4 separate regions of the Mus musculus genome follow, and all the other regions are reported to be linked to region 1. Evidence: microRNA targets listed by miRTarBase, many of them from high-throughput screens and not tested one by one. Region 1 holds a microRNA gene; each other region holds the end of a gene's coding sequence.
Evidence for each region. The annotated mature microRNA mmu-miR-362-5p reads AAUCCUUGGAACCUAGGUGUGAAU and lies in region 1 at 2,122-2,145, opposite strand. An mRNA with a match to its seed (bases 2 to 7 or 8) in the 3' UTR can be bound and repressed. Matches are read on the target gene's strand: a 7mer-m8 pairs with bases 2 to 8, a 7mer-A1 pairs with bases 2 to 7 and ends in A, and an 8mer does both.

Region 1 (3,228 bases):
ACAGTAAGACAGTAAGCTCCTGTCTTCAAATGGGAGTAGTGATGGTAGTTGACAAGAAGTCACTTAGTCTACTGGTCTTCGGGCTGAAGGGATGAGGAGAGGGAACAACACAATAGGCTCCATATCCACTCTTCCTGTGAGCGAGTGACTCCTCTCCACGTAGGCCCATGTGTTTAGGCATATCTAGGGCCATGGGAGGGGGAATAGTTTGAGAAATCTCATCTATCAGACCCTGCACTGAGTCATTCATACAGAATAGAAAACAAGGAACAATAGACCTAGGTCATTCTTTTGAACAGCAGTTGGTGAGTCTATAATAGTCAAGGATCTTAGTGTGTTTATTAGTCTCCTAAGAGAGTAGCACCTCTGTTCATTTTGTTTCCTGCTACATCCTCTATGACTAACAGAGCTGTATCAAATAGTGCATACCTGAATATTTGTGAAAGGAAGGAAAAGGAACAGGGGTGTGGACATATAGGGGCTCTGTCCTTTAAAGTGCAGGCGAAGTGCCACCCTTTGGATTCCTTGGACAGGACTTACTATTGAAAACAGCACTTGTGCTGAGGATTAATGTTCCTGATGAATCAGGTCAGATAATCCTCTCTGTGGGCACAAGTCTGTGAATCCTCTCCTCTGTATACACTGCATTTATATGGGACTGTGTTAAAATATGGAAGAATCCAAGTGGACAGTGTACATGAAGTCCCAGTCTACAGTCCACTCATGCAGGCATAATGGATGTGACACAGCTCACTCTCCCTGGACCATTTGCTCCCTGAACCACATGTGGTTCATACTCCTGTGGACCAAATCCCTAGTTGAGTACCTGCCATACTGAATAAATAGACAGGAAACAGTGGAAGGAGGCGTAAAGGTCCTACATGAAGATAACTCAATGTCTGAACCCTTGCCCAGGTATATTGCATTCGCAAAGCACACTCATCCAAGTAGCAAGTACTAGAAAGGCACAGCCTGCACCTATGCCCTTGGCATGTGGGTTCAACAAGAAGGCTTACTGTTCTTGCCCTGTGCATTCCTCCAAGAGTTGAACTAAAGAAGAATTTCTCTTCCAGGTGTCGGTATGAGAACTAGAATGAAAAGCTGCGCACTTATGTCAATACACAGTTTACTATGTGCCCCACTTGTTCTTGATACCTGTTAGGGTCATAAGTGGAAATAAAGTTCTACCTATAAAATCTAGGTGGGAAGAGGCCAAATTTGTCACATTTACTCTCCCATGCACCATGCCCGTTGTATTTGTAGAAGGAAAGAAGGTGGGGGGAGGCATAAAAGAAGTATGCAAGCAGCAAACAGATGAGATATGATGCACAGACCTCCTGTCCTTCTCCATGCAGATCAGGCTCACCTTCCCCAAATCCTTGCCCGGGTGCATTGCATACAAATAGCATTTTCACCCAGGGACAAAGGATTAGAGAGGATGAGCAGAGCAGAAGGCCCAGGCACCTGTACCATGTTTGTGTGGTTCTGTATATAATATTTAATTTTCCTTGTCCTGATTCAGCCAAGCATCACCACCTATACCCAAGCTTGACATCCCTGATTTATATATGTATCTGCCCCCTTCCCACCATGAGCATCCTCTCTCAGAGAAAACTTCTACGTATACAAAATGGTATCTCTCCCAGATCATACTTGAGAATTTGTGGGGGCCTGATTTATGTTTGGAAGGTAGCAAGAAGGCTGGGATCTGAGAATGCATATACATACTGAAAGAGGGCACAGTGGAGGAGGATACTCCATTCCTTTCCAATGCCTTTATACAATTCAAGCTTTGTGGAACAGGGGTTATCACTGGATGTAACAAACGGGTTGCCTGAGTAGCAGCACCTAATGTGTGCTCCTCATCACATGATCTGACACTTAGCAAACTGGGAATCAAGAAAGCTCATGCTGAGAATAGAAGCATGTCTACCAAACATGATAAAGACCATTTTGCTGTTAGAAAATGTGTAGAACCAAGTCTGACAGCTAAAACCAAAATCAAATGGTGGCCAGGAGGAGGGAAGGTGGCAGGTGAGATGTGCAAGTATGGGCCATTCTACACGCAGACAAGGCTCAGCCTCTTTGAATCCTTGAACAGGTGTGTTGCACTGAAGCAGCATTCACACCTAGGTTCCAAGGATTCGAGAGGGGGAGCAAGCAAGAAGGCTCAGGAACCTGCCCTTCCTGTGTGTGGTCAATATGCTTGTGTGCAACACACTAAAAGAGAACGAGAGATGCGCTCTGTCCTTTACAAACACAAAGGTCTGGCTCTCAGAATCCTTGCTGAAGAACACTCTCACCCAGGTAGCAAGGATCAGAGAACTGAAGCAGGGCAAAAGGCTCACAGCAAATGAACGCATGGGCTCACCTTTGACACAAGGTGCTTATCTGTGATGAGAAAGAAGACAATGTTCTTGAGCTTCACATTAAGTATGTCTAGGCACCTGAGTTCAACTCCCAGCCTCCACATAAAAGAGCCAAGCGTGAGGACTCAAAGAAAGCTAGATCCCTTGGCCTAACTGGTGAGTGCCAAGTCCCTATTAGAGACTGTTTCAAAAAACAGGGTAGATGTCCCCAAAGGGGAAGCACCTCAGGTTGACCTCTGCACCCTCCACACACATACACAGAAAGAGAGAGAGAGAGAGAGAGAGAGAGAGAGACAGAGTGACAGACAGACACAGAGACAAAGAGAGACAGAGACAGAGAGACAGACAGACAGACAGACAGACAGAGACAGAGAAACCTGTCTAAATATATACATTCATATTTTGTTCTGAGATTATAAAAATATAAAGCCAGAGATACAAAATACTGAAAGAAAAAAAGACAGAGAGACAGAGAGAAGAGGCCATAAGCTCACAAGATGGCAGTAGAGATTGGCATCCTTTAACACACATCAGCATCTTGTTAAAGTTACTTCAGATACCTGGAGGACTTGGTACTAAGATAACTTACAGAGGTTTCTCATTAGTGAGCTCAAGATTTTGTATTTCTAAAAGGGGCTGGGTGATGCTGGGGACCTTACCAGCATCATGGATAAGACAGAGAAACTGTGGAGTTTGGTATCTACAAACCCTGTTTCAAACCTATACTTCACCATGTACTGGATTAAAGAATCTACCTGCTTTCTCCAAGGTCATGGACTACTTCTAAAAAATGAGAATAACAAATGCTATCTCTTTAAAGAGTACCAAAAAAATTAGGTAAGATGCAAGCCTAGAGTAG
Region 2 (3,000 bases), not on the chromosome of region 1:
ATTTGGCATGACGCTGAATTAAAAAGTAATGGTCTGATTTCTCTGCCACTAGCTATTTCAAGACAGTATAGACTTGATCAGTGAAAACAAGCACGTTGGGGGTAAATACCAAGTGTACAGCTTGGTGAAGAGAACACAGAGAAGCTCAATATTGACTTAATGACCTGGGAGGCATGTACTGAGAAAGGCTGCTATTATTAGAGACTGGGGCTATTAAGAAGTCCCCTGGTTTGGGCAGGAGAGATGGCTCAGTGATTAAGGACAGTGACTGTTCTTCCAGAGGTTCTGAGTTAAATTCCCAGCAACCACATGATGGCTCATGACTATCTGTAAAGGAATCTGATGCCCTCTTCTAGTATGCGAATGTACATGCAGACAAAGCACTCACACATTTAAGAAAGAAAAAGGGCTCCTCCAGGTGGTACAGATAAGGAAGAGGTGGCCTCTTGGCCAGCTCAGCTACCGCCAGGCTCAGGTCTAGGACTCTGAATTGGCCCACCCCCAAATCTCCTCAATCTGTGAAGGGACCAGTCCTGCGGCTCCAAAGCTGCAGGACCTCCATGACACAGAGCAACAACAGAATAACTGGGAGGAGTCCCGAGGAGGATGCAATATATCTTTTTGGTTTTTCAAGACGGGGTTTCTCTGTATAGCCCTGGCTGACCTGGAACTCACTTCGTAGACAAGGCTGGCCTCGAACTCAGAAACCCACCTGCCTCTGCCTCCTGAGTGCTGGGATTAAAGGTGTGCGCCATCACGCCTGGCTGAGGATACAATATTGATGGTGTCACAAAGTCAGAGATCTCGAACCAGACCAACCATTCACTGCAATGAACATTTGCAAGTGAGGATGCACAGACAGACGTATAGACTGTGGGACACACTCTGATATTCTACTTTCCACGAGATATTATCTAAGCTTTGTTTTGTTCGTGTGTGTGTGTGGCTTTTATTTTGGGAGGAGATTGCAAGGGTGAAGGGCTATTATGAGGGACAGGGAGATGAGTGGGACTGGGGTGCATGATATGAAACTCACAGAGAATCAATAAAGTTTTTTAAAGTGTCTCTTGCTCAACACTGGGACAGTGGAAGTTGGTCAAGGAGAGAATCCTTTCAGATAAACCTCCACTCTGAAAGACAGCATTAAGAACCTGGCTGTTCGCTTGGAGAAAGCACCACCATACAAGAGCTGCCGTGGACGTGAAAGGCACTGTAAGCTGACAGTCTATTTTTCAAGTTATTTTCCACATGGTACTAGCTTTGCAGGCATAAAAGATGCAAGAATGAAAAGTGGATTCTTCCTGGCTTCAGAAAGTCACTGAGGAAACATGTGGCAGAGACAGAGTTTCTGCAAGGCCATGAGAGGCCACTGTGAAGCTGTCAAGGTAAAATTTGGGTTGTGGCACAAATCCCAAGACACTGGAAATACAAGTTGTGAGACATCTGCCAAGGAAGAGCTGCACAGAGCAGAATCACCAGAGAATGATCTGTTACAGGCAGCAGTGTGGACGGGTCAGAGGCATCTCAGAAACTAAACCCTTAGATAGAGAATATGGAGCTGCAGGGTCTGGCTTTCATCATGCTTTTACTCTTTGGTCCAATATTCCCTCACTATGTCATCACCCCTTCCTTTTGGAATGGGAATGTATATTCTGTGCCATTGTGTGTTGGAAGTATGTTCCTGGCTCTCTGATTCACAGGGGAGATAAGACATTGCATTGAGTCTCTGAAGAGATCTTGGAACAGCACTGAGACTATTAACGGCTATGGGAACTTTTGATATTGGACTAACTACATTTTGCATGACCTGACTATGAGCCTATAGCCATTATGGGAAGAATGTTGTAGATTGAATGAAAAATGACCCCTTTAGACTTAGGTATTTGAACACTTGGTCCCCAGTCATTGGTACTGTTTGGGGGGGCTTATGGGACTTTTAGGACAGAAAGTCTTGATGGGGAATTGTATCACCAGGGCCTGTTTATAACCTCATTCTCCTTCCAGTTCACCAAGAGCAGTCTTGGTGTGTGGTAGGGATGGGATCTCTTAGCTTCCTGCCCTGGCTACCTTGCCTTCCCACTGCTATAGTCATCTAGTCCTCTGGACTACAAGCCCAGATAAAGTCTTTGTGAAGTTGCTTTTGGTTGTGGTATTTTGTCACAGCAACTGAACAGTAACTAATACAACTTGAAAGCATGAAGCCCAGAGTTTGGGTTTCCAGGCCCATATAAAGGAGGGCATGGTGGTGTGTACTTGTAATACCAGCCTGGGAAGGTGGGAGGCAGAGAACACAGGTACCTCCCTGGAAGTACATGAGCTATCTGGCAAAGTTCCAAGCCAATGAGAAACTGTGGTTAAAAAAAGCACTTGAAGTTGTTTTCTGACGTATACGCAAGTGAACACCCACAAGTGCGCTTCCCAGCACACAAAGCAAGAGCCTGGGCAAGGCAGGTCTGAGAGCCTGAATACAGATGGGAACAAGGCTTGTGATGTAAGACAAAGGAGGGAAATTAGGTTAGGTGAAGGTTTAGGCTTCTCTCTCGGCTAGGCGGCTGCGAGGAATGCTTCATACACACTGGCTGTCTTCAGGGCACTGATGGGTTAGGCCGGGTAGGCTGAGAATCCAGTGCTGCCTCCATCGAAAGACTCAGGGCGTGGTGGCTGTGGCATTAGTGCGTTTTACCACAACCTCTTCATACTGTTGCTGTGTCAGCAACCCTTCTGTTACGCTTTTACTTTCTTCAAATTTGGGTAATACAACTGCAATGTAGCCTTCAGTGGACGGCTGGGGAAGAAAGCAGAACCCTTAGCAATGCCTGATGACTTCTAAGAGGTATGTGGGCAGGGTGCCCTTCCCCGCCTCTCCCTTACCTTTTCTTGAAGAAGAGATGGCTGATGAAGAATGTTTTCATTCACCTCCATCAATCGACCTCTAACACAGCTATTTAAAGAAAGAAGAATTTTTACAAACAACCCTTTTGGCAGTAATGTTTCCTTCAG
Region 3 (3,000 bases), not on the chromosome of region 1:
ACTAGGGCTAATGACTTTAATGTAGCTCAGTGGTAGGCTGCATATACAAGCCGTAACTTCTATCCTCAGTGTAGCCTCATTCCCTGTGGAAATACTAAAACCAAACTGACTCAAGCACTGCTCTGTGGTATAGCAAGGGCATGTCGCGTGAGGCTCTGAGTTCCTTCAAGAACTGCGGGACCTTCATCCCAACCAAAGGGCAAAGAGAAGCAGAAGAGATTCATGTTCCCCGGGACATAGCTCATCTGCTAACTTCCACTGTGCTGCACGGGGCAAGGGATTCTCTTCTCAGAGCCTGGGACTGGGACAAGGTGAGGAAAAAGCCCGCTAATATCGCCCCACTTTCTTTTTCAGGTTCCAGAGGTGAGGAAATTCACACCTAATCCCTCAGCCATCTTTCAGACATCAGCTCCTCAGACTCTCAATGTGTGACCAGTGGAAGCCATGGTTGGGAAAGCCGAGCACAGCCAGACCTACCAGGCGGAGTCCTGGCCTGCTCCTTTGCTTACAGCAGCATGGCTGCTGGCTCTGGGCATGGCGTGGTGTGGAGGCAAAGGGACAGGACACCACCAGCTGCACTCAAGCCTCCCCATCTGTCCTCCAGCGGTGGCAGGGAGGGAGACTTTCTTGTCTTCTAAATTGCCATCTGACATCCTTCACTTCTTAAATCTGACGATCAATTCAGCTGTGACCTGAACAGCTCCAGACTAAGAAATGTGCACACTATCAAGTCCTTGGTAGGTCAGTTTCACACTTTGGATGGTTTCCCCAAGATGCATGTTATTATTTATTTATTTTTGATGATGTATGATAGTATCCAGGCTGTATCCTCATCTCTTTGCAGTGACCCACGTGCTTACCATTAAGAAATTTAGCTCAGCAGTGGTGGCACATGCCTTTAATCCCAATGGAGGGAGACAAAGGCTGATCTCTGTGAGTCTGAGACCAGCCTGGTCTACAGAGCGAGTGATAAGACAGCCAGAGCTACACAGAGAAACCCTGCCGCAAAGCAAATGGGGAGAGGGTATCAATCTTAGGTTACCAGGAGTAATCCCAGCACTCTAGAGGCAGAAGGATCTCTGAACTCATTGCCTTCCTGGTCTACATAGCAAGTTCCTGGAGAGCCAGGGCTACACACCCAATTTCAAAACAACAAAAATCTTTAGGGAGTTTGTGTGTGTGTTTTAATATATAATTACTCGCACACAACTCTCATGGTAGTGATGTGTGTCTAGGGAGATCATCCATGTCAATCTCAACCATGTAATTTCTTTATAGCTAAGATCCTGTTTCAAAGGAAACAATTCCTAGGATGAGTGGAACCTTGAAAGCACGAATGGCATTCACCCCATTTTACTAATTTCAGTTGTCCCCCCTCAACACGAGGATAGAAGGGAGCTGGAAGCATGTCTGGAGAGCATCTCCTATAGGGCTTTAGGCTCCCCAACTCTGGTTAGCTACTTACTACCCTGCTGAGGGGATAACTCATCCTGTCTTTGGAAAACTGAGGGGATAACTCATCCTGTCTTTGGAAAACTCATCTCCATAAATTCCAGCCAGCACGTCTGTGTGGAACAAGCCCATTCCCCTTTGCACACCCCTTCAAGCGCTGGAAAGAGCCTGAGAGGTTTAGCAGTGTCTGGTAAGAACTATAAGGACTTCCTTGTGGTTCTTTTCTTCCCAGGCTCTCCCCACGGGAGCATCTAGGTCTGATGGTGTTTCAAAGCCATGGCTGAGGAAGCAGCTCAGACCTCCCACACAGCATCCCCTCAGAGGTGCTAGCAGGCCCAGCCTCCCTCTTACCAACCATATGCATACGCCAAGGATCCTGTCCCTCTAGGTCTGTCAGCTTGCATGCTCAGTGTTCCTAAGAGGGAAACGATTGCCTGCTGGGCAGATTAACAATTTACTAAAATGCAAAAATGTGCTGCAGCAACTTGTTATAAACACAGGCATATTCTTTCCCATCCCTGTAGCCTCCCAAAAATGGCCGTAATATAGTGTAGCTTCGCTAATATCCTTGAACTCCAAACCCTTCTTGCTCAGAGCTGCAGATGCTTCCAGTGTTGCAGGTGTTACCTTCTTTCCACTTCAGCTCTCCTGCATACTTAAGTGGGAAAAGGGGCCATCTGTGCCACTGCTGCTTCCTCACTGGCAGGGACAGTGAGCACTCCACTTCTGCACCTGAAAGTGAGACTGCTATTACCTATACCCTGCTGGCTTGTTAGGACATCCTCCGGAAAGCCAGCCAAGCATGGCTCCCCAATAGTCCTTTCCACTTTAACTCTTCCAGGTACCTTTTGGTCCTGCTGTAGCCACTGGCATGCCCCAGCTAAAAGCCTCCAGCTGTACACTGCTAGTGACCGCACCACATGTCCAGCAACCCCACCCCCTGCATTCACTCTTGGTGTAGAGATGCATGACCTCAGCAGTGTGCCACAAAGCTCTTCTCACCAGTCCTCCTGAGGAATGAAACCCTGCCCTTAGGAAGTCCCTCCTCATTGCAGATCTGAGTATGGTCACATGGTTCCACGAACAACCAAGAAGCCACCAAGGCCAATGTCAGCCTTGTTCTCTTAGTTCTGAGTCCACCTTACACACAATGTGCACAAAGACCAGAAAAATACACTGGAGGATGAGCAGGGCTCATCTCTGAGAAAGGAGTGTGTATATGGCGTTATATGTACGTGTGTATTCCTGTATATATGGGGATGTGTGTTCATGTATGTGCAGGCACGTGTAGAGGACAGAGGACAACTCAGAGTATTCTTCAGGTACCCTTCATTTTTCTCACTGGCCCAGGGCTCGCCAAGTAGCTTAGGCTGCTTGTATAGCAAGCCTCAAGTGATCTGCCCATCTCTGCTGCCTCTCCAGTGCTCAGATTTTAAGTGTGCACCACCATGCCTGCCATTTTTATGTGGGTTCTGGTGACTGAACTCAGGTACTGCATGCACTTCAACTGAGCCATCTCTCCAGCCCAAATTTTTAAAAATACTTTAT
Region 4 (3,228 bases), not on the chromosome of region 1:
CAGTCCCTCTCCTTCATCCCTCTCTTCAATACTCCAGTCCCAGCCGGACCCCATTCCCTTTAAATGCGATGCTAGCCGTGGAAGGAGGGTATTCTATTCATCGTTTTGTGTTGTTGTTGTTGCTGCTGCTGCTGCTCTCCCAGCAAAGGAGCTACACTTTGCATTATGTCAAGTTATCTTCATGGAAAGCATGTGCCATCCTCTCCAGCTGCCCTGACCCCGTTGACATTGTGCAGCCTTAGAATACTAACCTCAGGAATTTCTTTTCTTCCCCCCCCCCCCAGGACTGTGGGCGTGTACTGCTGAGTGCAAGATCCTAGGTCATTCTGATCGCTGCTGGAGCCCATCCTGTGCCGGACCCAACGTACACCCCCCTCCTCACCCACCAGCCCAGATGTCAACCTTCTGTAAGAGCACGTCCCTGCCTCGGGATCCTCTGCGCAGGGACAATTACTATCAGGCCCAGCTCCCCAAGACAGTAGGGTTGCAGAGCGTCTATGAGAAAGTACTGCATAGAGACTATGACAGGACAGTCACTTTACTCTCCCCTCCCCGTCCAGGAAGGCTCCCAGACCTGCAGGAGATTGGAGTACCCCTCTATGAATCCCCTCCTGGTAGCAGATACGTGTCCCCGAAGAAGGGAATCAATGAAAATGTGTAATCTTATCCTGCATGTCTTCACACACATATACAGGTCACCCTGACACGTCCCTAAGTTATTGACCGGTTTCAGTGTTGTATATATAAATATGCAAGATGTGCCTTAAAATGAAGTTGTTGGAAGCTATTTCCAATCACATTGGTACTGTTTGGTATTTGCAAACAAAAAAAATGTAGTTAATGTAATTTTTATGAAATGTGTGCAGTATTTAATTTTTCTTATCATGCTATTGGCTTTAATTTCATTTGTGGCTTGCAATTTTCTTAGTGTTTTTAACCTGTACATTGTGTAATGTAATGTTTGTATATACTGAAATTTTGTTATATTTTTATATATTAAAAGCTAAGTGGAAGTTACTGCCAAAGGAATTGTCTGTAAGACAAAAAACAAAATGTGTTGGAATTGCTCATTGGGATTTTATCTTTCACCAGAAACAACCTAATGTTTGAGAAGTTTTTGCCTTGCCAAGTCTAACAACTTGTAGATCTTGAGTCTGTGGTAGATTTCAAGTTACTGTTATTTAATTACATTCGGTTCTCTGTAAGCTCTGTCACTTATAAGCACAGTAATAAAGGATTCGTCATGTATTTGAAGAATCTGCTAATTGCTTCTCATAGAGTTGCCTGAAGTCAGATATTCACAAATAATTTCAGTACCAGAATTAAACCTCCTTTCAAGAGCTAATTATTCGGGCATTGTTGGTGCTTCTGGGGACACCAAGCCTGTGGGATTTGGGGTATTGCAAAATCTTGCCCAACAACTAAAAACATTTGTTGACTTTGTAAAAATATTTATGACTCCGTATGCATCTGCTGCTATGCAAAGTTCCTGCCCTCTCTTACCCCTTCCACAAACAGCTATTGAGCATTTACTAAAAAGTGGGGGAAGGCTATATTTGAGCCGTTCATCCACGAATTAAGCAAACATTTGTAGAGATTTTACCAGAGCCCAGTAATTCCTTCAGGAGCTGGGGCTTGAGGTAAAGATGATCCAAAACTGCTTATTAAGATGGTGTACCGAAAAGATACACAAATAGGATGGAGACAGAGTACAGTGCTGGGATGCTTTCTCTGACTGAGTTTGAGTCCCCTGCACTGCAGGGGGGAAAAAAGGATGAGGGAACATATACATTGAAGATGAAGTGACACATATCTGGGATTTGCTTTAACATGTTCCAAAACAAAAGAAAACAAAACCACGGAACTGTATGAAAACAAGATTGATAAACTATTACTGATAATCGTCAATGGTGGTATGGGCACACGTGGGTATGAAGAGGGTCGCTTTGGAAGGTTTAAAACAGCCATTGAGTCAGACCTGGTGGCACTCACCTCTCATCCCAGTACTTGGAAGATGGAGGCAGAAGATCAGGAGTTCAAGGCCAGCCTGGGCTACATGCCTTCAAAATGCAAAAGATAAAAAAAAAAAAAATGAGCCCATCTAGGTCAAAGCCTTGTGTGCATTCCATTTAAAATTAAAATGAAGATAATAATGAGATTTGGCATTTCCTGAGGAAGCTTTTCTATATGCAAAGCTCTTTACAGAGAGTTCTGTGAGAATTAAATTCTCTTCTACCTCCATGCCATAGGAACTATGGCTAACTCTATTTTTGCAAATAAGAGACTGAAGCATAAGCAAGTTAGACAAAGCATTGCTCATCATACAGCTAATAAGAATCCAGGGTGAGAGTGAACTCAGATCGCTCAACAAAGGGAAGCGATGAGGGGGAAAGCTTGTAGAATGTTTATTGATGTGAAAGAAACAAAGTTAGGAGGAAGGGTCCAATGTCTTGCCTTTACTGCTTGATTATTATTTAGCTCTTTATATTTGTAAGCGTCTGTGTTCCTTTATTACTAATTATAGAGTGAAACACACTAATGAATAGAGCATCCCTCAAAGCTGCCTGTTGAAGTCATAATTGAAGGCATTGTTAGCTCCAAGCTGAACAGCAGGTCAGGCACATGGTGCTTCACCACCCACTGCCTGTGCAAAGTTCAGCGGTTTCTGCCAGCAACTGAGCTGTGCATGCACCTGACAGGCTGGCTGCCCAGCTCTCAGGGTCTAAAAGCAAACACCGATGTTTGTCAGTTACCAACCATCTCCCTAGCCAGGAAAACTCAGCTCTAGAAGATAGCTCGCCAGGTAGATATCCCATAATAATGGAGCTTTATTCTTGGTCCGTCCTATCAAGGGCAGAGCAGAAGATTCTAGAAGCAGACTGTCTCTGTATTTGCTGATTGGAGCATTCAAAACAGAAACAATGAGGGCCGGCAAGATGGCTCAGTGGATAGAGAGGCTTGCCACCAAATCTGAGTTTGATCCCAATCCCCATCTCATCTGATGAAGAGATCTGACTCCTGAAAGTTGCTGTGTGACCCCCACCATCACCATATGCAACCTAACATGTCTATGCGCCAACACACAAAACCCATCGGTAAGTATAACTTTTAAATTTTCAAAAGAAAAGAGTAGAAACATCATTTTATTTTGAAATGTGCAGGTTATTTTTATTTCTCCAAAAATTTGAGATTCAAAAACTCTATAAATTTTATTATCGTATTCTTTCC

Region 2: miRTarBase lists Abitram as a target of mmu-miR-362-5p. The part of its 3' UTR that is shown has no 7-base or 8-base seed match.
Region 3: the mRNA of Map6d1 is a reported target of mmu-miR-362-5p. Seed matches in the 3' UTR shown: 7mer-m8 at 1,821-1,827.
Region 4: miRTarBase lists Pcdh8 as a target of mmu-miR-362-5p. The part of its 3' UTR that is shown has no 7-base or 8-base seed match.

Annotation. Positions count from the first base shown.
Region 1 is chrX:7,239,898-7,243,125 of GRCm38, forward strand. Mir362 (microRNA 362) reads right to left here and starts at 2,149; the gene lies at 2,085-2,149. The region is part of intron 2 of Clcn5 (chloride channel, voltage-sensitive 5); the gene reads right to left. Mir501 (microRNA 501) reads right to left here and starts at 1,454; the gene lies at 1,346-1,454.
Region 2 is chr4:56,805,819-56,808,818 of GRCm38, reverse strand. It overlaps Abitram (actin binding transcription modulator), which reads right to left. Exons shown (of 6, transcript NM_001081420.1): 5 at 2,872-2,941; 6 at 1-2,785. The coding sequence ends at 2,648. Among named protein-coding and RNA genes, the nearest start is that of Elp1, 5.0 kb to the right of the region's middle.
Region 3 is chr16:20,233,394-20,236,393 of GRCm38, reverse strand. Map6d1 (MAP6 domain containing 1) reads left to right here. Exons shown (of 3, transcript NM_198599.2): 3 at 355-3,000. The coding sequence ends at 432. Among named protein-coding and RNA genes, the nearest start is that of Gm41431, 1.8 kb to the left of the region's middle.
Region 4 is chr14:79,764,804-79,768,031 of GRCm38, reverse strand. Pcdh8 (protocadherin 8) reads left to right here. Exons shown (of 3, transcript NM_021543.4): 3 at 285-1,260. The coding sequence ends at 661. Among named protein-coding and RNA genes, the nearest start is that of Gm9748, 3.5 kb to the left of the region's middle.